Notamacropus eugenii: one gene and its partners. The protein of the gene in region 2 interacts with the protein of the main gene of each other region in a pairwise test. Links are inferred from orthologs where the notes say so. Each region holds a gene or a part of one and is shown on either strand. Other genes may lie near its edges.

Region 1 (8,409 bases), on a different chromosome or scaffold from region 2:
AGAAAAGCACCATAAATAATTGCCTCCCACTCCTCCCCTCCAAGGGAGGAGATGGCCATTCCTTAGGATATTCAGAAGAAAGTACTCAAGCAATTTCAGAGAAAGAGAGTTACAGCTTTCTAAAGACTGGAGGTATTCTGGAACTAGTATCTAACCTTCCAAGGTGAGTACAGTCAAGGAATTCACTTATTTGGATGAGTAAATTCAGATAGGTTTGCTTGAAAAATATACATTTGATTCCTTTATAATCACCTCATGTGTGCAAGTACCCTGGAACTGCGGGGCAGTCTTCAAGTTTAGGTGCTGTTTTTCTTTCTTTCTTTCTTTTTATAGGGTTTTCTGGCTTTCACACACATCACAGCATCAAAGAAAGTTTCCCTTTTCTGCGGCCAAATCTAGTCTGTTCTGCAACTGACTGACACTTTCTAAGCCTTTCCCGGCTGGTTTCGACATTTGCCTTTTACACAGGATGGCAATTCTTGAGGGCTTTTTTTTTTTTTTTTTTTTTTTTTTTTAGTACAAATACATCACTCATCACACTAGGTAAGAAAATGTGTCACCATTTCTTTATACACATGCAATAAGTTATACTAAGGGGAAAAAATAAACTTTTTCCCAAGATGGAAATGTATACCTTTGAAGTGGAATGCAATGGGGAAAATCTATAGTTGCCAGTTAAATCACACTGTATTTTTTTCTATTTATGCTCTGCTCATTTTAACAGAAAAAGGTTCTGACTTCAAATTGCACTGGATGCCCCGCATGTCTGGAATGTATTCCCTTATTCATTCCGCCTCATAGAATCTCACTTTTCCTAGAAGATAGAGTTCAAACACCATGTCCTATATAAAACCTTTTTTGATCCCCCAACTGTTAATGTCCTCCCTCCCAAACCATCTTGGTACTACTTTACACAATTTGCTTGTATGTATTAATCTCAGATTTATTCTATATATAGCATATATCCAAATAGACATAAAATACGCACATCTATGTCAATATCAGTGTCAATATCTCGATCTCTATGCTTCTTGTCCTTCCCATTAGAAGCAAGGCTGTTTTCATTTTCAAGTAGAGCTGTTTCATTCTTTGTACTTGTATCCCCTAACCTGGCTACCACAGCGCCTGGCAAGTAGTAGGGACTTAAAAAGTACTTATTGACTAATTGATTGTATTCTGAGGGGAAATAGTGAAATAATTAGAATGGCATTTTACGTTTGAAAAATTGACTTCAAAGTCACATGCTTGTGCATAGAATACAAATAACATCATTTAAGTCTCGATAAAAAAATTCTTGTATTAAAATGATCAGCGCTTCTTGGTAGTCACTCTTATTAGAGTTTTTAATAGAATAGAGAAGCACCAATGAATTTTAACCTTTTCAACCTGGCCTCTGTTGCCTCCACCATTTATTGGACTACAATAACATGTAGGTGATCATTTCAGAAATGCATTGACTTTCGGAGGTTTCTTGGGGAGACCACCTCTTGGATGGCCTCATCTAGGCATGTGCTTGACAAGTGAGATATTCCTACAGAACCCTGATTGTCCTCATTTACATTCCTGCACAATATTTAACGACGCCCGCAGGATTCCTTTGTACTGCTTGGCATAAAGTTCCATCGTTAGATTATTATTCCATATAGTAACTCATTTTTAAAAGAGGCTGAGAAAAAATGCAAATCTGTATAAAAAACTCTCAACTAGTTAATGAAGTATATTAAAGGGCTCCCCCACCCCATTTTTTGTTTCTTTTCCTTTCAGTCCATTAGGCAATAAAAAGAAACTTTGGGTGACTATGGCTGGTCTAGGAAAAGCTGTTAAATATAACTGGAGATGTAATCAGTCATTCCAAAGGAGAAGTATGGAAGTATCAGTTATATACACTTTCCTGACTTCATTTATTTTACTGCCCCTTGATTAACTACGGAATTTTTTTTATTACCCACCTCTTGCCAATAATTGGCTATTTTAGTGACTTGCTTTGGAACTTTTAGACAACAAGAAATTACATGCATGCACACAGATAACTTCCTGAAACCAGAAAGTCCAACTCATTTAAGATACCCAGTAGTATCATTAAGCCAGTAAGTAAGCTGAAAACCTTCCAGCTGATAGACAAGGGGACCCGGGAGACTGGCAGCAAACATTACCTTTGCATGAACGAGCCTTGCCTGGAGCGGTCGTGGCTGCAGTTTGCACCTGCTGCTGTTTGCCCAGACCTCCTTCACTTCCAATTTTCAAATTCTTCTCCCCTAAACTGTGCTTTTTCTGCCTGCTGTCCTGCTCGTCCCTCCTAGGTAATGGCAGCTTAGAAGCTGCATTAGCTGAGAACGGTCTAGCCAAGCGAGAAGGCTTGGACATCGCGAATCAGCGGGAACATTACCTGCTGGGCCAGCAAATTCTGCAAATCCTCTGGGCTTTTTACTTTGCAACTGACCCAGGGAGAGGCTGCTGGATACAAAGTCCTGGCTTGCCAATCCGTTCTCTTTTAAACAAAAGGCACGGTGCAGTCACACAGACAGTGTGCCAGACCTGTGGAATGTAGATGTGGGCTCGGGGAAAGCAGCTGACGGTTCTGCGATGGTAAATGCTCCAACTCCGAGGCAAAAACAGATGCTGGGCTCAGAAACGTTCATAGCGCACACGCCTCCTGGCATGCACAGACTAGACACTGGGCAGCCTTCAAGGGGGATAAGAATGTAAACGTTACCCCACCCACTCAGGTGAGATAATGAAAAAGAATCCAGATGTGGGGGGAATATTGCGGGAAATATGCAATTACATGGTACTTCCAGGCATTGGCTCAAGCACATATCTCCTCCCCTTAATAAACTTTTGCCATCCCCTGGCTGACTATGTACCTCTGCCTGCCTACATCATTATTTCAGAGGAGAAGAATAAGGTTAGGCCTTTCCCCTCCTCCCGTTGGTGGTCATCACTGATCACAATGGATAGGGCACCATTGGGGATCATAGGGATCTGCCAGGAGGGGAGGGGGTGTAGAGTAGTTGAGGCTGGAAAGAGCTCAACTCCAAACTGCAAAAATACAGTCACAAAGAACTAAAAGTGTCAGAGGCAGGATTCAGGTCCAAGTCTCTGCTAACTCTAGGCAGTGGTCTTTGTGCTTTATCAAACTCCCTCTCAAAGAACATGTGAATGATAGTCGATATTTAAGTTTGCTGAGCACTTTATGAATATATTATCTCATTTGATCCTCACAATAGCCCCACAAGGGATGAGTTATGGCTGTTCTTATTGTTCCTTTGGAGGTTAAATGACTTGCTGATGTGATATGGCTACTACTTATTAGAGGAAGTATTCCAAGCCAGGTTTCTATTGACTGCAGGTCCACTGTTGTTCCTGTCAAATTATACTACCTCTCAATGACCAAATCAATGCTAAGAGTAACTGACTTGCTTTATATATAATAACAATAACTGCCATATGACTACTTCATATACATAATCTCACATAATCTTTTTATAACCATCTTGTGAGATCAGTCATGCTATTCTAAGTTTTCAGATAAAGTTTAAGGCCTTGCCCAAAGTCAAACATCTGCTAAGGACCAGAGGCTGTGCAGTGATCTGTCCCTCAAACTACACTGGCTGTTATCATGCTTCCTCAGAAAGCAGTGTTAATTATATTTATATACATATATATATGGTGTTTTAAAGGATCATATGAGTCCAGTTCTAAAAAATTCATTTCATTCATTTAATACATAGCTTGTATCAAGAATACAAAAACTCTTTACTATGAAGGATAATTATTTTCTTTTTTAGCTTCTCAGTGATTTTATTATTTGGGGTTAAGCTTTTTTCCAAACTCAATTACTCTATATTCCCTTAGGGAGAGTCTCTTTATAAACTATAAAAAGGTTCAGGAAATATGTGATTACCAAATACCACTCCAAACGTAAACATCATGCTATTTCCCTTTTATACTGGATAAATTTACTCCTGTTTAGCACTGTTTCAGGTGAGATATACTTTATCCCTAAGCCTTCCACCCTGTTAAATGAGCCCTTCTGGGTCATCCCACTGGGACTGGACTCTGCCCTGGGGTTAGGTAAGCTTTGTACTCATCTTTCATTTTGCAGGTGATCTAGAGGAGCTAGGCTAGAAGCACAGGGCATCCTTTCCATTTCCAAACCATGTTTGCTGCACCCTGGCCATTCCTCCCACCACAACTCACAGTTTTAGTGTTCTCACAGGTGAGCTTTTACCTTATCTTTCTCAGAACTAGGCCACTAGGACACATTCCTGTCATTTCCAAGCCCTCCCACCTCAGGAGCACTGCTTTCCCACTTCCAGCTTTCCTTCTTCCATTTAGAACATAAGCTTCTTGAGGGTAGGGTCTGGCTTGTTTGCTTGTATCTGTACAATCAGTGCTTTGTACAGTGCCTGGCACATAGTGCTTAATTTTTTTTTTTTCCCCATTCAGCTTGGCTTGAGTACATATACAGCAAGCCTCTAAGATAAAGATCCCGCATCATGGTAGATGATCCCTACCCTTGTAATTTCCTCACCCTTCAGTTCTACAATCAGGGACATGATAGCTCCTTAGAGAACCCTGCCCACTGCTACAACTATTACTCACTTCAAACTCTGGACATCATCCCTCTGCCTATACCATCAGTCCTCTCCTATGTTCCCTGCCCACTTTGAACCTCTAGAGAAATGGTCTCTAAACCTTTTTCGACCATGCACACCATGGTAAAAGAAAATAAAGTAAAAACTGAGCACATCCTTCCAATGTAAGTGTATGGGTTCTCATGACTCAATTTTCTCCCCACTTCAGTTTATCCTCCACGTAACTGCCAATGTGATTTTTCTTAAGCATAGATCTGAATTTATCCTTCCCCTACAAAATAAACTCCAGTGGCTACCCATTGCCTGCAGAATAAAATATAAACTCCTCTGTTTAGCTTTTAAAGTCCTTTTCCAAGCAGGCCTCAATTTATCTTTCTAACCTCACTATGCATTATTCTCTATCCCATACTCTGCAATTCAGCTCAACTGGCCTTTTTTCTATTTATCACAAATAGTACTTCAATTCTCATCTCCATGCTTTTGTACTGGCCGTCCCTTGTGCCTGGAATTCATTCCTTCTTTACCTTTGCCTTAGAGGAAACAAATCTCTTTTTAGGATAGAGCTCAAGCAATGTCTTCTAAAAGAAACCTTTCCTGATCCCCCACTCTCATCCTTGACTACAACTGTGCGCCTTCTCAAAGAACCTTGTACTTAATTATTTTGTATTTATCTGTAATTATTCTCTTTATATTATTTTGTATACACTTATATGTATTTGTGGTCTTTCTCCTTTAGAGCTAGAATTTTAAAACTTTTTGTTACCTGCATCCCCGTTGGCTAGCATAGTGCTTGGCCATAGTAGTTGCTTTAAAAAGGTTTGTTGATTGACATATTTAATTATTTATAAATTATATACATATACCACTGTAATAATAATTATATATATTATTAAACATAAACATTTTTAAAGAATGGAATAAACCTTGGAGTGAGGGAGATTGAGGAGCAGAAGAAGATACTGAGGGTGTAGGCTAGAAGGATGGTGGCTCCCTCAGCAGAAATTGGGAGGTTGGGAGAGAGGGGGTTTCAGAAGGAAAGATAATACAATGGGATTTTGATACATTCTAAACTCATCCATGTCTGCTTATTCTGTGACATCTACTCTGTCCCACCAAAAATGGAAAGGGGAAGTTGCGGGGAGGAGTGAGGCTTTTACTCACTAATACCTATCTTAGAGAACTGAATCTGACCTTTGAGAGGTATCCACTGTAGCCACCAAGTGATATGGGGGCTAAGAAATGGATATGTTGGGGTGGGACAAGAATTTAGGTTTCCCACATCGACTCATCCACTTCTCTGGGGTCTTAGGTTGCAGCTAAATTATAATTGTCTTGAAAGCCATATTTCAAGTTCAGAAGGAGGCAGGGGAGGAGATGGAAACTATCATTCTGGAAGTAAGCATTTATTAAGTAACTATCACATGCCAGGCATTGAGAATGTGAAGAAAGACAAAAAAACGGTTCTTGCTTGTTTTCAAGGAGTTCATAGACTAATGGGAGTATCAGAGGGAAGGGATGGGAAGAAAGAAAGAAAGAAAGAAAGAAAGAAAGAAAGAAAGAAAGAAAAAAAAAAAGAAAGAAAGAAAGAAAAAAAGAAAGAAAGAAAGAAGGAAAGAAAAAAAGAAAGAAAAAAAGAAAGGAAGGAAAGAAGGAACAAAGGAGAGAAGGAAGGAAGGAAATAAGTACCTACTATGTGGTAGGCACAGTACTAAGCACTTTTCAATATCACAACAACCCTGTGAGTTAGATGCTATTACTACCCCCACTATACAGTAAAGGAAATTGAATCAGAGAAAGATTAAATGTCTTGCCAGCATCACCTCTCTAGTAAATGTCTGAAGCTGGATTTTTATTTGTCTTCCTGATTCAAGGACCAGAGCTAGAGCTGCCTCTAGAGTAGATGGTGTATAAGGAAATAGGGATAGATATGGTTACGCTGGAGATAAACTCTAAGATTGGCTATTGGTAAGAGGTTGAGGTGTTACCCATCTTCATACCCTTTGTTCTGGGTGATCATAAAAACCTCAGGGGCCCTAGTCCACACTCTATTGCCCTCTAGGGTCATATGATTAGAGCTGGCGTAGATATCAGATGGTAGTATGCTAAAACCAGCTCATGTTGGCTCATGAGAGCTGAGTGTGAAATTTATAGTGTGAGCATTTACACCCGAACAAACCCTGAGAATTGGGGCTTGATTTATTGTATTATCAAATTTCTGGACTTAAGAAAGGGATGAAGAAAATGTTAATAATGCAGATTAAACTTAACCCCAAATACATGTGGGTTTTCTGCCCCCCAAAGAGTTGGTTGTTAAACATTTTTTACGAGCATATCCTTGATTTCAGAGGTGATCTAGGGTAAATCTCCCATTTCACAGATAAAGATCTAAGGTCTAGAAAAGTTAAATGACTTGCCTAATATTCAATAGGTCATCAGTGTCTATCTACGTATCTTTCCATATAACCAAATGTATCTTCCATATGTATTTCTATCCTTTTGTTTCTGATCACCAGGAGCTAGAAGCCAAGACAGGGAAAGAATAAACATTTATTAAGCGCCTACTATGCACCAGGCTCTATGCCAAGCACTTGATAAATATTATCTCATTTGATGCGCACAACAACTTTGGGAGGTAGTTGCTATCCCCATTTTTATAGCTGAGAAAAGTAAGACAGATGGAGGTTAAATGACTTGCCCAGGGTCACACAGTATCCCAGGCTGAATTTGAATTCAGGTCTTTCTGACTCAAGGCCCAGTACTCTATCCATTGTACCACTTGGTTACCAGTAGAAAGTAGGACAGGGGGACAGAGAGGGCCATACACTTATGGGCCTGGACAGAATTTTGAATAGTCAGTGGCTTCAAATTCAAATTTCATGTTGTTTTAATGTTTATAGCATTTATCTATTGGTGCAGCTATCACTTAATCTGTTTTTTTTTTCCTTCACAAAGGCATATGAATTCAACTAGGAATACAAACTCACTGGAATAAAAGGAAGACTAATTTGGGGATGTATATGTGTGTACATGTTTATGTATGCATCCATGTGGAATGGTATGTGAGTGTGTGTGTGCGTGTGCGTGTGTGTGTGTGTGTGTGTGTGTGTAGTTATAAACAGCCCATTTCATCAGGGTTTGGGTTTGAGATGGCCTGATCTAATCTATCATCTTAGATTTAAGCAGATTAAATCAAATCATCCCCCACATCTGTGAATACTTATTGTTTTTAAGGACTTTGGTTCTCAGTCGCTTTCTTTGTTGTGCGCGTAGCAATCTACTTCACTCTTTTTGGTAGATACCTATGATTCCATTGTTGTGGGCTACTCCCAGTGAGGAAACATCCTACACCAATTCCTATCAGAACCTGCTTTGAAATTTGTAGTCTTAGAAAGTAACCTTGGGCAGTGAGATGTTAAGGGAAATGTCCAGGGTCCCTCAGCTATATACCTATAGGTCAGAGGCTTTCTTTTACCTAGCCTAACATCTCACCCTCTTTCTGTGGAACAGCAGCATATTTCCCAATAATCTGTAAGCTCCCTGAAAGCAAAGAGACCCTCTTTTAGCCTTGCCTTTTGCACTGAGTAGGTGCTTTGCTAAAAGGTTGCATGTTTGTTCAAATGCATATACTCCCATTTATTCTAACATGGAGATGGGGACCCTATCTCAGTGGAGAAGGCATCTATAAAGAAATTTTCCAGACCTATGTGGAGGCAAAGCCTCAGGTAACAGCAGGGTCTGGTGGTCAGGGTTTTTTGATGATCTGATGTCCTCTTCTATAGTAATTACCCCTGACTGCTACAACCACAAGCAT
Region 2 (8,126 bases):
CATTTTAGCTCTCCTTTTTCTCTACTACAGGTATTTTTCTTAATACTCATAGGTATGTTGGAAACACATAAACATAGCTTATGTGAATTATTTGAATGGCTTGATGATGACATTAACTTGTTCTGATTTCATTTGACCATTTTTCCATCATCAGTTATTAATTAGAGGAAAAGACTGCTATTAAAATGAATAAAAAGTTTTTTCTTTCTCTATCCTTACTCCTCAAACTTAAAAATGATCTTTCTAGTTTAGAAAAAGTTAACAGCCTCAGGTTCTAAAAATTCTCTGTTAGAAAAAAAATTTGTTTTTACAAGATAGCATTTTAAAAAATAGCATGACATTTATAAAATACATCTGTTAAATACCAAATTCTTCAAAGCACATGTTATTGCTGCTTTTAATTGTCCAACCATGATTTAAAGACCTTTGAGAGTACAATTACAGGAAGCCAAATTAACCTGGGTAGAAAACAAATCAATAAAGTTAGATGCTTGGTGTCATATAGACTAATCTAAAAATTGCTAAACTAATTTTTTTTTCATTTTTTTTGCTGATAATTTTGCTAGAGTAGAAGTAGCTTCACAGTACTCTGGAGCAATTTTCTTTCTGTGTGTTAAATGAGGATCAAATGAGATAACATATATAAAGTGCTTTGAAAACCCAGAAAGTGATAAATTAATATTATTGAATATCAATGAGCTAACTTGATTTTGAATTTGAGATTCTACATCAGGATTAGTGAACTCTCATTTATTCAGAATGGTTTAGGGAAGGATGGCTCTGATTAATTTAATATTGAAGTATGAAGCAACCCTAAAATACACTGACTACAATTTAATTTTTACACTTAAATTTTGTGAAATTCAAATACATGTAGGTTAGATTTGTCACAAATATAGTTGTAATTTATAAATTACATATGGTCTAGTCTGGCCATATACCTATGTACTATAATGCATTTGTGTACACAGAAAGCATACTATATTATCATAATGTATAATAATGTAGCATATGTGTGTGTTGTAAATTATTTTTGTTATACAATGTTCCAAAAGTCTTAGTGCAATTTAAACTTTAATAAGCTGACAACTGCACTAAGACATTTGGAACATACTGTGTTATACGCATATGCATGTTTTTATAGATACGTTTGTGCTAAATGCCAGACCGGATGAATCAAAAGCTGAAATTAAGGTATCTCAGATATGTAAATGATACCATTCTGATGACAGAAAGTGAAGGAGATTAAGCCTCTTGATGAGGGTGACACAGGAGAGTGTAAAAGCTGGCTAGAAGCTTGACATTAAAAAGAAAACCTCTAAGATATTGGCAACTGGTCCCATCATTTCCTGGCAAATAAGGGAAAAGAAACGGAACTCGTGTCAGGTTTTGTATTCTTGGGCTCAAATATCACTGCAATCAGTAACTGCAGTCTGAAATTAAAGTACACTTTCTCCCTAGAAGGAAAGCTATGGCAAATCTAGACAGCGTGCTAGAAAGCAGAGACATCATCTTGCTGACAAAGGTCCATGTAGTCAAAGCTATGACTTTTTCAGTAGCAACGTGTGGCTGTGAGTTAGGCTATAGGGAAAACTGAGCGCCACAGAACTTATGCTTTTAAATTGTGTTGCTGGAGAAGACTTTGGAGAATCCTTTGGACAGCAAGGAGATCAAATCAGTCAATACTCAAAGAAATTAATTCACTTTGTTCACTGGAAGATCAAATACTGAAGCTGAAGTTTAAATACTTTGGCCACATAACGAGAAGATGGAACTCATTGGGAAAGCCTCTGGTGTTGGGAAAGATTGAAGGCAAAAGGCAAATGGAATGGTAGAAGATGAGATGGATAGATAGTGTCATGTAAACAGTGAACGTGAGCTTGGAGAGACTTTGAGAGTGAAGGACATGAAGAAGGATAGAAAGGCCTGGTGTGCTATGGTCCATGGGGTCACAAGGAGTTGAACACGACTGAAAGGCTGAACAACACATTCTGTTTGCCATAAACTCTTGTTTATCATATCTGACCATGAGCCCCATTGTAGAGCAAGCACTTATTACAAGGATGTAGATCTACCATTAGTCAACTCCCCTCCCCCAACATTTCTTAAGCACAAATACAAGTACTTAAAATCTCACGAAATATGACTTGCTTTACAAAGCAGGGGTTAGACTTGGCCCCCAGTACTTACATCCTAAAGGGGTTCCACAAACTGCTTTCTTTCATAGACTGGAGGTAAGAAATAGCACTTGCCTGGCTTCTGAGGAAAAGTAACTAAGCAACCAACATGGGGTGCCAAGGCGTTGGCTGGGCTCTTGCATTCATGACTCAGTCCTAGGCACATCAGGCCAGAGTCCACTGCAAAAGCGTGACTGCATTTCCTTTTGGAAAGCCCACAACAGCTATTTGTGCTTTCATACTATAAGCCATAACAAGTCGTTTTGTTTAAACATACTTTCCCAGTGTGTAATCAGTCTCATCAGTGATTTGCCTTTCACCCAGAGGCACCCGCAGGCCATCAGGAAATGCTGTCACGGAGCAAAGCCTCAAATGCAATATGGAGGTTTTCATCCCTATTTTTTTGTTGTTCTTTATTGTTTCGGAATTTTCCAGTTTCCAAATATTCAGTGTATGTGAAGCAAAAAAGGAAAAAGAAACCCCCTTGCCAAAAACCCCCCAAAAACCCAAACCCTTTTCCATGCAATTTTCTATTTGAATGGGAAGAATGGTCCACATGGAAGGAAAAATATTCTTTCAGCACAGTCTGCAGAGGGACAGGATTTTGCATAATGAGCCCAGCTGTTTAGCACCTGGATGGCAGTCCCAGACTGGCATGAAGAGACATTGTGTAGGCAGAAACGGCTGAAGGGAAAGCTAACAGTTTTTAAAGCTCTCTCCTCCCTAAACATCAAAGCTTCCCCACATTAAGTATTTGTTATCTTGCTGGTAGCCCAGGAACCGGAGAGGAAGGAAGGGGAAAAGAAATTATTGTGGATCAAGTCATTTTGTCCTTACCTCGGCTACAACCCAGTCAGTGGTAGCTCCTTTTGGTCGGCTCCCTTGCCTGAAATGAGAGGACAGCAGCCAGTGCAGGGGTTTACTGCTTTATTGGATTACTCCTAACTATGTCTTTAGTAATTAGACAGGTCTTCTCTTGCCAGAGGGAGCTATAAATACAGTATCACTAAAGGAACAGCCATCCACAAAAGATAAGAACTGAAGCACCTCAGCTATGGAAGCCTTTTAAGGCATCTGAATTAAGACAGCTCAGACTTTCCAATGACAGGGGGCTGCCAGGCTCCCCTTTTGGTCAGTTCAGTCCAAGGACACACTTGTCCTATGTAAATAACTCAGCAAGCAAAGTGGAGGGGGGATATTGGGGAAGGGGGAGAATTTCAGCTTTATCAAGCCTATGACAGACTGTTAGATTGCCACAACTGTGGTGTGTCAGGAACATATTACAGGTTTGGAGGGCCAGGGATAACTTCAGAAGTCAGCCCTTTAGAGGTAGCTTGGAACTGGAAGTACCTTTGACTCAGTCACCCTAAAACACTTGTGGCATCAGTGAGGGCTCTTCCATCATCTTCTAGTGGTGAGCTTTCAAGTCCTGTTCTTGAAACTATTACCCCACAAGACTTTCTTTAATCCTCATGAGAAGATTCACATCGTGAAAATCTTGGCATCACACCCTTGGATAGCCTGTGGGGGGAGTGGGGGCAGTAATAATGAACAACAAGTATGTTTGTAATTCCTGAGCTCCACGTATGTAAGTCAATGTAGAAGACCTTGTGTATTGCTGTTAAGCCTAAGCTAGAAACAGGTGAAATGGAAGAAAAGGAAAGGGAGAGAGAAAGGCTTTCAGAGAAAGGAATGGAAGGAGAAAGAGAAAAAGGAAGGACAAAATAAAAATGAGCATGTGGTAGGAGTGGTGGAATGCTAATAGGGTGCCTCTCAGTCAATAGATAAGCACTTATTAAAAGCTGACTACATCCTTCACCTCAGGGCCAGAAATTATCTAACCATGACTACAATTTAACTTACTGCAAGACATTACATCAGTCCAGATATTATTTAAAGAGTGACTTTTTGTGATCATTTACTTTTATTTCATGCTTCCCTTTGATGCCTCATGGTGTTAAGGAGGTAAGACTGGGTTCTTTTGGGTTATAGCAGCTGAATACATGCTGTAGAACAGAGGTATTAAACACACTGTGGTCTGCAACATGGGAGTCCTGCCTGAACCAAATTAAAATATAATTGGGAAATATTTAATGAAATAAATATATTACATATATGTATATATATACATATTTATAAAAAATAAAATAAATAAAAATACAATAGAACATTGACTTTTAAAGTCAATATATTGATGTATGGATTAGTGGTCCCCCTTTCTATTTGAGTTTAACACATCTGCTCTAGAAGGTCCTATAAAGCTAAAAAATCTTCATAAGATCATGAACCTAGGGCTGGGAGGGTTCTCAGAGGCTACCAGCTTCCAACTCCCTCTTTTTCTAGGGTAGAAAACTGAAGCACAAAGAAGTTGTGACTTGCCCAGGTTGACACAGTTAATATGTATCTGAGGAAGAATTCAAACTCAAGTCTTTCTGACTCCAAGAATTTAGACAAAAAAAAAAAAAAATTCCCAGTACTGTCATGTGTCTGAGAATCATGGAATGCCAATTTCAAAAGAATTAAAATTAAAGGTTACTGAAAGAAAAACGGAAAGATGATTATCACCGTAAGTAGGCTTCTCTATCTACTCTAATACATCACCTTTGATAATGGGAATAATGCATTGCCTTGTCCATAATAGGAACTTAAATGCTTGGTGAATTGAATTGAGAACCGTAGAAGAGCTGCTGATAGGCTGTCATCTAAAGAGTAGTTTAGTTGGAGATCCTGGAAATGCTGAAGTAAGCATTTGACCCCAATAGCTAATCATAAACAACTCTGATTATTTAATTTTGAAAAGTGCACTCACATAAAGCATTTCACAATACTTATTTCAGAAGACAGGAGACTAAAAGGATAGAAGATAATAGGCATGAAAGAGTTGCCCATTGACTATATACGTCACAACAACTATAATAGTACCACTTTCCATGTGTCTAACAAGAATTTTCATGCCCTTTCCAAAAAGCATGGTAATTTTTGCCTATTTCATTTGAATTTGAATACATTTCTAAAGCTCATACAAATTAGTGATGGATCTGAGTTCTACTTCTCAATCCAACCGAAGGTATAATTTCCCCCAAATTTTGAAAGAGCATAAGAGAAAAAGGGAAGTTAAATGACTTTGGACTTCTCTAAGATTATACATTAAGGCACTGGCTGAGTTAAGTAAGATGAGCTGTGCCTTAAGTCCCCAGGATTATCATTAACTCATACCACATCTAATGCTGTTGCTACCCAACAGTGTTATGGAGTGGAAAATTTCATGCACTCATGGAGCTGGGCTAGGTTTTTTGCCAGGGAAATTTTCCTTTCATTCCTCTCTAGACTGCTCTCTGAACTTTCTCTACTGTGCCTGAGAAGCCTTTTCATCCTGAATGCTCATTCCAGGCCTGGAATTCATACAACATAAGTACCCTCCCTTCCTCTGACCTCTCTCTCTGATAGGATGGCTCCTCCTAGAACTTCTATTTAAGGAGGGTGCCCAAGCCAGCCACGTCTCATTTCTCTCCAAATTGTACTCTGGATTTTCTCTACCATGCCCCAGAAAACTTTTCATTTTGGAAGATGAGGAAAGAGGACCAGAGGTTAAAACACTTATCTAAGGTTGTACAAATAGTGAGTGGCAGATCTGGGATTTGAACCCAGATTCCCTCACTAAAACTCAGAGTTCTTTCTACTAAAATTTATTGCCTCATCAATACAATCCACCTAAGAGTTAAGGAGTGCTCCTTTAAGTGTGGTCATATGACACAAGTCATTTTCCTTCCCATATGGGTGGGAAGATGAAGAGATGAGGGTTGGAATGGAAGTCATATCCATCTAGGTGAGAGGACACTATGCCCTAAAACAATGGTGTCAAACTCAAATAGAAATGAATCTTGTAGCTTGACTTGGAAAATCACAAATTAACATTATCTATATTGGATTGTATTTTTATTTATTTTGTTATATATGTCCCATTTGCACTTTTATCTGACTCCAGAAGTACTGGAGAATTTTCCTGGCAGAGGGAAGTTTGATATCATTTCCCTAAAAGATAGGTAATGATCATTTTCACAATGAGTTCAATAATTTTTATAGCACTGACCAGTCAGTGTGGCCAATGCATGAAATATTTACTATTTACTATGTACCAGGCACTGTTCCAGGTTCTGGGACTATAATATATATATATGTATGTATATATATATATACATATATATATACATATATATATATACACATATATATACACATATATATATAAATTAATATTTATTAAGCACCTGCTACGTGCCAGGCATTGTGCAAAAACAAAAACTAAACATTGCCTATCCTTAAGAAGTTTTCACTTACTCAAAGGGAAACAGTATGTACACAAAGAAGTATGTGAGAAACATGGGCACATAGGTAATTTCTTTGGTGGTGGTGGTGATGGTAAGAACAACAGGAAGTCTACTCTTCAAAAAGCTTACAATCTATTGGTATTTATTTTAATTTTTTTTAAATTCTGAACTTAAACACCAAGTACAATTATCACTTCCATTTACCCAGTAGAATAGAAGAGTATAATTTATAATTTATATAATTATATAATATGAAACCATGACTCTATTAGGTACGGTTTACTTCTCTTTTTAAATATATAGTAAACAAAGCTCTCCTGCTTATCTAAAATTTCTTCTGGTTTTCTTTCTGTTCTATTTTGTACACTAAAAAATACAGGGAAGAATGCTTAAATGACCCTCTTTTCTTGTCTTTGTTTATGGCAACTCTATGCTTAGCCCCCTGTTGCTTCTGCTCCAGAAGAAAAAAAAACAAACTCTAAAACTCTTGCAACAAATATGCATAATCAAGAGAAATAAATTCCTGCACTGGTTGACTTTGAAAATTCAACTTTTATAAGTACAAAGATATATTGGGGATCACTTTGGAATGATGTGGGAGGAGAGACGAATATGGGAAGCCATTTTAGTACAGTGTGCAGACTAACTCTGAATTGTGGAATCTTAGGCTCAATGGCTAGCCAGAGAAGGAAACATGATGGAATGAGCACTGGATGCTGAGTCAGAAGACCGGACTTCAAGTCCCAGCCCTGAGACTCAATAGCTCTGTGACAGTGGTCAAATCACTTCAACCTTATCAAGCTCAGGTAAGTAGAGAGACACTTTTAGGTTTGTGCCATTATTGCTTATTAAGCATTTATTAAGTATTTCATTAAGTAATTTTATTAAGTACATTTATTAAGTGCCAGTCATTCTGCTATATGCCAAGGGTGCAAAGAAAGATATAAGCAGTCCTTGCCCTCAAGGAGCTTAACTTGTAATAGAAAAGATACCCAGTCTGGGGAATGTTAAATCTGGAGATTTAGAAACATAGCTGATAGAGAAATGAAGGATGGGCCCCTTTCCCAAATGTGTATGTGTTCATCCTTCATTTTTGAAGAAGACCATGCCATCAGAGAAATGATGACATGACTTGCACTTGACTTTGTTTGGAGTGAGGGAGGGCTCTGCAGGTCACCAGCCTCACTTTCTCCTCCTGAGCCATCTGAATCCAGTGACCAGATATTCATCAGGATGACTGGAGATGACCCAGGATGAGGCAATTAGGGCTAAGTGACTTGCCCAAGGTCGCACAGCTAGTGAGTGTCAAGTGTCTGAGGTGAGATTTGAACTCAGGTCCTTCTGACTCCTGCACTGGTGCTCTATCCACTGCACCACCTAGTTGCCCCAAAGTAATGTGTCTGAGACTGCATTTGAACTCAGGAAGATGAGTCTTCCTGACTCCAGGAACTGTACCCCATCTACTTTGCCACCTCCCTTCTCCAAATAGAAACTTGAGAAAGATCTCACTAATGGGAAAAACGGGTCAGAGTGGAACAATGCTCCATGGTGAAAAGGCCCCAGATGATTAAGAAAGATTCTCAGTGAGAAGACAACTCAGTTTCCTCAATTGTAAAATGGT
Region 3 (8,260 bases), on a different chromosome or scaffold from region 2:
TCTACTCAGATGACTCCCAAACCATGTGGATAACTCTAGTTTCTCTCCAGTGCCAGTCCCACCATCACTGACTGCTTACTGGACAATTCAAAACAAAACTTATCTTTCCCCCAAAACCCACTCTTCTTCAGAACTACCTTACGTCAGTTGAGAATCACCATTAACTTCTCACTTTTCCTCATCCCGCATATAAGTATGCCAGATTCTCCCTCTGCAACTCTCGCATCCTGCCCCTTCTCTCCATTCATATGGACACCAGTGTAGTTCAGGCTTTCACCACTTCTTATCTGGATGATCCCAATAACCTCTTAATTGGTCTCCTTGCATCAAATCTTTTCCTTCTCCAATCCATACCTAAACTGCCCAAATGAATTTCTTAAAGCATTCCTAAAAGTCACTTTCTTTTCACTAAACTTTGACTTATGGTTTCCAGGATTATCAGACTGACTCTCCTTCAGTCCAGACCAAGTGGCCTTGCTGTTCTTTACATGTGACAGTTCAACTCCTGTTTTTGGTGCCTTTGTACACATCTTGAATGCACTCCCTCTATAGACCTAGGCCTCTTAGAAACCCTATTTCATTCCTCACTGACCTCAAGTGCTACTTCCTATATAAAGCCTTTTCAGATCTCCCAAATTATCTTCCATTAACTTTGTAAATATTTGTGATTATACATATGTGTGCATGTATGTATGTAATCTCCTTTGATAGAATGTTAGCTCTCCGAGCATAGGGATAATGACTATATTTTTTGTCTTTGTATTCCTGCCACATCGTATATGCCTGATAAATGCTTGTTAACTAACAGGTGCAGAAGCAAAGACACACAGGTAGTACAACTACTTTTCATTCAAGTCAGAATCTGTATGATATCTGATCCCTTTTTTCACTTTGAACTTTCTGTATCCAATTTATCCTTTGTCACACCTTACACATGGCTGGTCTCAATTTTCCTACAGTAGACTTTTACGCCAAGTTAAGATTATGTATGTTTTCTCTGAAGTGTTAACTTCTACCTTTGCTAGTTAACAGAATGCTACTCAACACTTGAGATAACTAGCAGCATCACCACAATTGCAAGAAGGAAATTATGCCCTCCAATGATACTTGACAAAACTATCATTACATAATCACATTTCATATTGCCGACTAGCAAGAAATGTCCCAGCTGACTAACATTTTAATACACATTTTCACATCTCACCACCACACAAATAACGTCCGTTAGTTTCAACAAAGGTTAGAACTGTTAATCTAACAGTTATTGTTCCTTTAAGTGTCAGCTATTATACATAATGCAACGATTTCTACTCAATTGATCATTTTTACCAAACACTTTTAAAGTAAAACTCTCAGATAACTACTGGTGTCAAAAAGTTCAAAATCTCTTCATCACTGTATAGTTCACTTAATGCAAATACTGAACTGAAAACAAGAATTTACCTTCTATTTCCACCAAAGGTTCCTGAGTAAAGTCTTGAAAGAATTTGTAGAAGAACTGACTGCAAGCAGCCAGAACAGCTTTGTGGGCTTTAAAATGGTGACCTAAAATCAACAAAAACATATAAAATACAATCCAGTTTGAAAAATAATTCAGTGGGGGGAAAAAGGACCTTTTACTTGTAATCTTTGAATTCAAGTCAGGTCACTATCCTTTTTACCTGGCAAACATTTGTACCTGGAATGGAGAACAAGAGAAGTCTTTATTTCAAGACTTTAAGAGATTTATAAAGGTCATTCTCTCTGAGCTGCATAAATGTTGATCATTTAAAATGAAAATACTTCTGAAAGGAAGCATGACAGATGTTTACTAGCCTCCAACATTTCTGATTAAGCAGCAAAGGGCATATCATATTTAGTTGAAACTGCCAGAAAGAAAGAAAAGCTCAACCTTAAAAGTGTATAGTTTCATTTTGAGAGGGAGGTAGAAGTACAAGCTTTGGAAAGAAGCATTACTTGGCTGGGTAATGCCATGCCTTTGCACCAGGAAGCTTAACATCTACACTTCTTAAGAGCTCATGCTTAGACTTTGGCAGCCAGGATGTTTTGACAAAAATTGGTCCATCCAAATGTAATAGACAATCATAAGGAGCCTGCTTTTTTAATCTGTTTACTTTTCACTCACACACAATGCACAACAAGATGAAATGAACCAAAAAGGGAATGGTGGAGGGCCCTATGGGTCCCACCAAATGAGGAAGATTTAAATGCTGCCAAAAATGTTGGGTTTTTTTTAGAAGAACAATTAAGATGGATGTAATATTTCCCAAAAATGGATGGAAGGAATTCCTTCAAGGGACTGCTTCTCTTAGAGCAGCTTAAAAACTGAGGTACATGTAAAAAAGAAAAACATTTAAGCAATCTTCAAATGCACCCTTCTGACAAACCTCCCTGAGGCCTGAAAAGAGTAAAGCGTTAGGAGTACTGGGTTTCTTAGAAATTGTGACAAGAAAACAGTTCAGAGCATCAGGCTGTCTGTCAGACACAGCAAGTGACCTCAGAGCTCCAATTCACATCAATTAAAGCTGGGGAGGGGGTAACTAAAAGAGAGGAGGGAAAGAAAGGTAATCAAAAAGGAGATGAGGTGGGGGTCAACAGATGGAAAGGGAAAGACTCTGCCCCCAGCAGTGGCCAGCACCTACCATCCACTATCAGAGTGATGTCAGTAAACTGGTCCTGCTCCCGCTGCTCATTCAATCGGTCCAGAATCATTTTGTGATGTTCAGGAAACTCTTGAATGCATTCCATCGTCTCTTCAGCCTCCATGGCCAGGCGAGCTGCTCTGCAAGACAGTGGCACGACACCCTTCACCCCCACCCTCCCGACGGCGGCCCCGCACCCGCAGACGCCGACCCCCACCACCAGCACGAAAACCACCCACGGGGCGGGAAGGCGCGGCTGCGGGGAAGGCGGGGCGGGGGGCCGTGGGCCCGGGGCGCCCCCGGGCCGTGGAGGAGCAGCAGCGGGAGCGGAGTGACCCCGCTCAGAACTCCCAGCCTGACCTAATTGGAGCCCTCCTGGGCGGGCGGGCGGCGGGGCTGCCGGGGACCAGGGGGCTCGTGGGTCTCCCACAGAGCAATTCCAGGGCGGGAGCGGAGGGCTCCGGGCGAGCCGCTAACGGCCCACCAAGCCCTATCCGCCAGGCCCCGGGGCTCCCGTCGCGCCCGCCGGGGACCCGGTCCGGCCCGTGGCCCACAACGACTCCTGGGTCTCCTCCCTCCTCCCCCGCCCCGACCGGGCCGGCGCTTACACAGGGAAGGAGGAGCGGACCGGGCCTGGACGTCACTTACGTCAACGTGCCTGCGTCTGCACGTCGGACGTCGACGTCCTCGGAGCGCCGGCTGGGACAGGAGGTGGAGGGGCGGAGTGAGGAGAGGGGAAAGAAACGAGACATAGGCCACGCCCTCTCCTGCCTCCCGGAAGGAGCTGGCGCCGGCCCCCAGGCCCGGGGAAAGGGGAGGGGGAAGCCTCCGGGATGTCTGCGCAGGCGGGACCGGGGCTCGGGTCCCACGTGCTCGGTGCGCGGCGCCCATGGGGAGCAGCTGCCGTCTGCGTACCCCTGAGAGAGATCAAGCGGGCGGATGCCTCCTTCGCTCTGCGCCCCCACGGAGCTCTCTCCTACCCGTCCCCCAGCCTTCCAGCTCCTAGGGACACGTGGGAGCCACGGACTGTCGGGCCGAGGGCGCAGCGCGCCCCACCTCCACGCACCCCGCGTGTCTGTAAGCCGCGGCCCCTTCGCGCCGCGCACCCGAGCACTCACGCCTCCCTTTGCAGAGCTGCTTCCCTTTGGTCGCCCCCCCAAACTTACCAAGAATTACGTACCTCCCTCTCCCTTTAGATGACTCACTTCCCTCTTATTCCCAAGAGTTTTTCCTCTCCTTCCCCCCAGAACTTGCCTCTCTCTGCCCCCCTTCACTGCCTTACTCTCCCGGATCTTACCTTCTCTTCCCAACAATCCCCAACACTTTGGCCCCCACCTAAGCTTGTGGCCTTTCTTCTCCTCCTCCGCTCTCTCCAAGCCGCACCTGTTCTCCCACTTCACACACGTGCGTGCCCAGCTCCCCCTGACCGCCGAGCTGCAGGAGCCAGGAGCGCGCACCGCTCCCTCGCTGGGAGCCGGGAGAGCGAGCACGTTCCTGCCGCCTGGGGCTCTCGTCGCCCAGGCTTCTGGGTCTGAGAGCAGATGCTTCTGCCGGATCCCCCTCCGCTCCTCGGGCTGCTGCCTCCACCTAATCCATTTACGACACCTGTCTCAGGCCTCCCCCAGAGGCTACAGTAGAGCGAGCACGAGGCCCATCCTTTCACTCTACAATTCCGCTTAACAAACGATTGCTGTGTATTTTCTCTGTGCCAAGCGGAGGAAAAGAAGAATAATTCTTTATCCTCAAGGGGTTAACATCCAGTCAGAAGAAACAAGGAAGTCCTACAGTGTCAGGCCAAACGGTAAGTGACCTTAGAAGTGAAAAGCACAAGGAGGATTTTTTTTTCCCATTCTAACCCCCACTCGAGAAGAACTCACTAGGGTGCCTTACCATTTCTGCTCTAACTTTCAAACACATTAAAACCTCATTAAAAATGGCAAAATGTGCCTTTTCTGAAACGTTTAAAGTATTTAGCAAAAGCCTTTGCAGTACTCAGCTTGTGGTATTTAATGTTAAAGTTGTGTGTTATTGTATGTGAATCTGTTGATTGTGAAGAAAAATTAAATAGAAACAGTACATTAGTGCTTACAGAGTTAGTATGCTTATAAGAAGAGTTTTTTCGCATAGAATGGGAAGGTCAGATTATAAATTGAAAGAAAAATATTTTTATTAAAAAAAAAAAAAAGAAATCCATCCCCAAAGGATGTATCCCCTATCAGTTGGTCATTTCCCCTTCTAATGATGGGCAAATTCTGGACTTCAACTCCCCTTTATCCTTTTGGTTCAGAATCAACATCTGCTAAGGTGAAAATCCTCTCCCCATTCTGTATTTCCCAGGACCATATTACCCTCTGCTCCCCCACTGGATTGCACCCATTGAAATCCTTTCTTCCCCTTTATTCTAGTTCTTTTTACTCTGTCTTATACCGAAGAAAATGGATTCTTTCCTAGAAGACACACATTGCATCCGTAGCCAGTTTATTACTGGGTGAACCTTTTATGCCCTCAGAGGCCCTGGGCTAGCAAGAGGAAGCATACTCCTCACTCCGGTTGCCACTTCCAAAATGCACCTTTACTCCCATCACTCATCACTTCCTTTGAGGTTCACTCCATCTATCTTTGTTACCTAGTCCAAATCTGTCATAGTCGTCTGCCAACCTCCAGGTTATTTTCCTTCCATTTGGCAGTAGTTCAGTAGCTGAAAGCCCATGATCTTTCTGCCCCAGCCTCTGTTTTCCAACTTGTAGACTTCAGCATGTATATCAGTGTCCACTTGACCACCCTGGCCTCTCAGTTTATCAACCTCTTAAACTCCCATGTCTTTCATCAAACTCAGGGATGAGTATACCCCATGATTTGATTATATCACCCATAATTGTTCCACCTTCATGATCTAGAACTCTGAAATCTCATCAGTCAGAACATGGCCTCCTATAATTCAGTCTCTCCTGCCTCACAAACTATTTATCTTTACTGTGACCTCCATTTCCCTCCACCTCCCACCCCCATCCTTTTCTCCCTGATCATCAACCCTCCCCAAACCTCCTTTCTCTCCCTTCACAGCCTTGACCAGTACAGCCATACAATAGTAGCTACCATTTAGTCCCTTGTTCTGTCAGTAGTCATATTTTGCCAGACCCCAACCTTGGATTACCCACACTAGCCACCTACCCAGTAACCTCCAGTGTCTCTCTGTTACCTCCAGGATCAAATATGAAATCCCATATTTGGTTTTTAAGGGCCTTCACAACCTGGCCCTTTCCAGTCTTCTTAGACCTTACTTCCCCCTCCACAATTGCTCTACAATTCAGTAGCACCGTGCCTCCTTTGAACAAGATTCTCCATCCCTCGACTAAGCCATTTTCCTAGTTATCCCTTATACCTGCAATACTCTACCTCCTCACCTCAGCGTACTGTCTTCTCTCTGCTTCTGGAGGCTGGGGTTGAGGCTGGTGGATCACTTGAGTTCCAGAATTCTGAGCTGCAGGTAAAGTTAAAGTTGATCAAGCATCCACACTGATGTGGTAGATGACCAGTGTATCCACCAAAGTGGATAGAGTGGTGGGCCCAAAGTCAGGAAGACTCATCTTCCTGAACTCAAAACCAGCCTCAAACATTTACTAGCTATGTCTGACCCTGGGCAAGTCACTTAACCCTGTTTAACTCAGTTCCTCATAAATGAGCTGGAAAAGGAAATGGCAAACCACTCTATTTTGCCAAAAAACACCAAATGGGGTCATGAAGAGTTGGACAAGATTGAAGAACAGTGAGCCCCTAGGACGGGAGGATCCCCAGGCTGCCTAAGGAGGGGAGAACTGTTCAGAAGGAGAGTAGGTTAAAGCTCCCTTATGCATCATGCTTTATGACCGGATACAGTATGTCCAGCCTGGGTGAGATAGGGAGAACCCATGTCAAAACAAAGACATCGGATATCCCACCTGCAAGAGTCATTTCTTGGTCTCCTTCCTCCCCAGTGCCTTCTCCTCTGAGATTCCCCACCATTTATACTGTAGATACCTTGTATGTTCATATTTAGTTACGTTTCCCCATTAGAAAGTGGGCTCCTTGAAGGCAAGGACTTTGTCTTTGCTTCTCTTCGAATCCCTAGCTCTTACCACAGTGCCAATAAATGTTTGTTGACTGACCAACTCACCCTCTCCATGTTTACTCAGGTGCTGCTGAACAACAAATGAAGAAAGCCATGTAACCTCACTGGGTCCTCTCCAGGTTTATGTTACATAATTTCAGCTGGACACTCCCTGCTGCACATTAATCCCGACTGATCCTGTGACATTTACACAATTTCACTCCTCAGACTTCCTACACCTACTGCCACCCTGCCCCTTAGCAGAGAACCTCAACTCCTCCTTTGCAGGAAAAATAGGGACCATTCATAAGATCCTAAACCCTTTGTCATCCCTCTTTTGCTCCAGTCTCTAATGAGTTGGTGGACCTTCTTCTTGCTAAAGTCAGTACCTTCACTTGAATTCTTGGTCCTATCCCTTCCAGTCTCCTCCAGGAGACCTCCCCCCATTCCTTCTCTTTCTCTTGTTTTCAGTCTGTCCTTACCTTCTGGCTCCTTCCCTTACCACCTATAAACATGCTTACTTCTCTTCTATCCTTAAATCTTTTCTTGACTGCTATTCCTCCAACCTTTTTCTTCCTTCCCTTTTCACAGAATAAGCCTTCTGTAATGCTGGCCTACTTTTTCTCATCTCCCATTCACTTCTTAATCTCTTGCATTCTGATTTTTTTTTTATCCTACCACTTGACTATAACTACTTCCTCTGAATTTGCAAATACTGTCTTAACTGCTGAAAATCAGTGGGCCTTTTTTTTTTTTTCCTGAGTTCGCATCCTTCATGACTTCTCTGCAGCTTTTGGTACTTTCAGCTACCCTTCTTCTGGGTACTTTTGCCTTGTGTGACTTTCTCTTTTGGTTTTCCCTCTGTCTGATGGATCTTTCTTTGTCTTCTTTCCTAAATGCTCTTCCTGCCTTTTAAATGTGGGTATCTTTCAAAGCTCCATTTGGGGCTCTGTTTTTTGTGTACTCCATCCTTTGGCAGTCTCATCAGTTTCTGTGGGGTTCAGTTGACAGTTCTGTGCAGATGACTCCAAATAGATATATTTAGCTTTAAAAATGCCAGATTGTAGTCTCATAGGATCATAGACCTTGGTCTGAAGGAAACTTAAAAGTTATTATTTCTAATTCCATTTTTCAGATGAGTGAACTAAGGTTGAGAAGCTAGATGGCACAGTGGATAGAGTGCTGGCCCTGGAGTCAAGAGGACCTGAGTTCAAATCCAGCCTTAGAAACTTCCTAGCTGTGAGATCTTGGGCAAGTCACTGAAGCCCATTTATATTAGTTTATTTACCTATAAAATGGCATGGAGAAGAAAATGGCAAACTATTCTAGTTTCTTTGCCAAGAAAAGCCCAAAAAGAGCTCACAAAGACTCAGATATGACTGAAAAATGACTAAACAAGAAGTGAAGTGGGAGAATTGAAGTGACTTGCCTAGAATCACACGGGCAAGTAAGTGGAAGAGTCGAAATTCAAACCCAGATCCTGTGATTCCAAATCTTGAGCTCTTTCCACTCTGCCTTGAGTCTCCCTGAG

The links.
Region 1: the proteins of FHL2 (region 2) and KIAA1217 interact in binary tests that used the Homo sapiens proteins (3 or more experiments, as listed by UniProt). The two-hybrid records come from large-scale screens. The link is inferred for Notamacropus eugenii from reciprocal best matches to the Homo sapiens genes FHL2 and KIAA1217.
Region 3: the proteins of FHL2 (region 2) and ZNF131 interact in binary tests that used the Homo sapiens proteins (3 or more experiments, as listed by UniProt). The two-hybrid records come from large-scale screens. The link is inferred for Notamacropus eugenii from reciprocal best matches to the Homo sapiens genes FHL2 and ZNF131.

What each region holds. Positions count from the first base shown.
Region 1 is NC_092874.1:64,821,895-64,830,303, reverse strand, and holds the start of KIAA1217 (sickle tail protein homolog), read right to left. Parts: upstream 3,455-8,409; 5' UTR 2,365-3,454; coding exon 2,154-2,364; intron 514-2,153; exon of another isoform or gene 1-513. UniProt on the Homo sapiens protein: Required for normal development of intervertebral disks.
Region 2 is NC_092877.1:200,474,933-200,483,058, forward strand, and holds the start of FHL2 (four and a half LIM domains protein 2), read right to left. Parts: upstream 3,105-8,126; 5' UTR 3,015-3,104; intron 1-3,014. UniProt on the Homo sapiens protein: May function as a molecular transmitter linking various signaling pathways to transcriptional regulation. Negatively regulates the transcriptional repressor E4F1 and may function in cell growth.
Region 3 is NC_092875.1:416,848,101-416,856,360, forward strand, and holds the start of ZNF131 (zinc finger protein 131), read right to left. Parts: upstream 3,455-8,260; 5' UTR 3,395-3,454; coding exon 3,291-3,394; exon of another isoform or gene 3,251-3,290; intron 3,247-3,250; exon of another isoform or gene 3,003-3,246; intron 2,783-3,002; coding exon 2,643-2,782; intron 1,546-2,642; coding exon 1,444-1,545; intron 1-1,443. UniProt on the Homo sapiens protein: Plays a role during development and organogenesis as well as in the function of the adult central nervous system. May be involved in transcriptional regulation as a repressor of ESR1/ER-alpha signaling.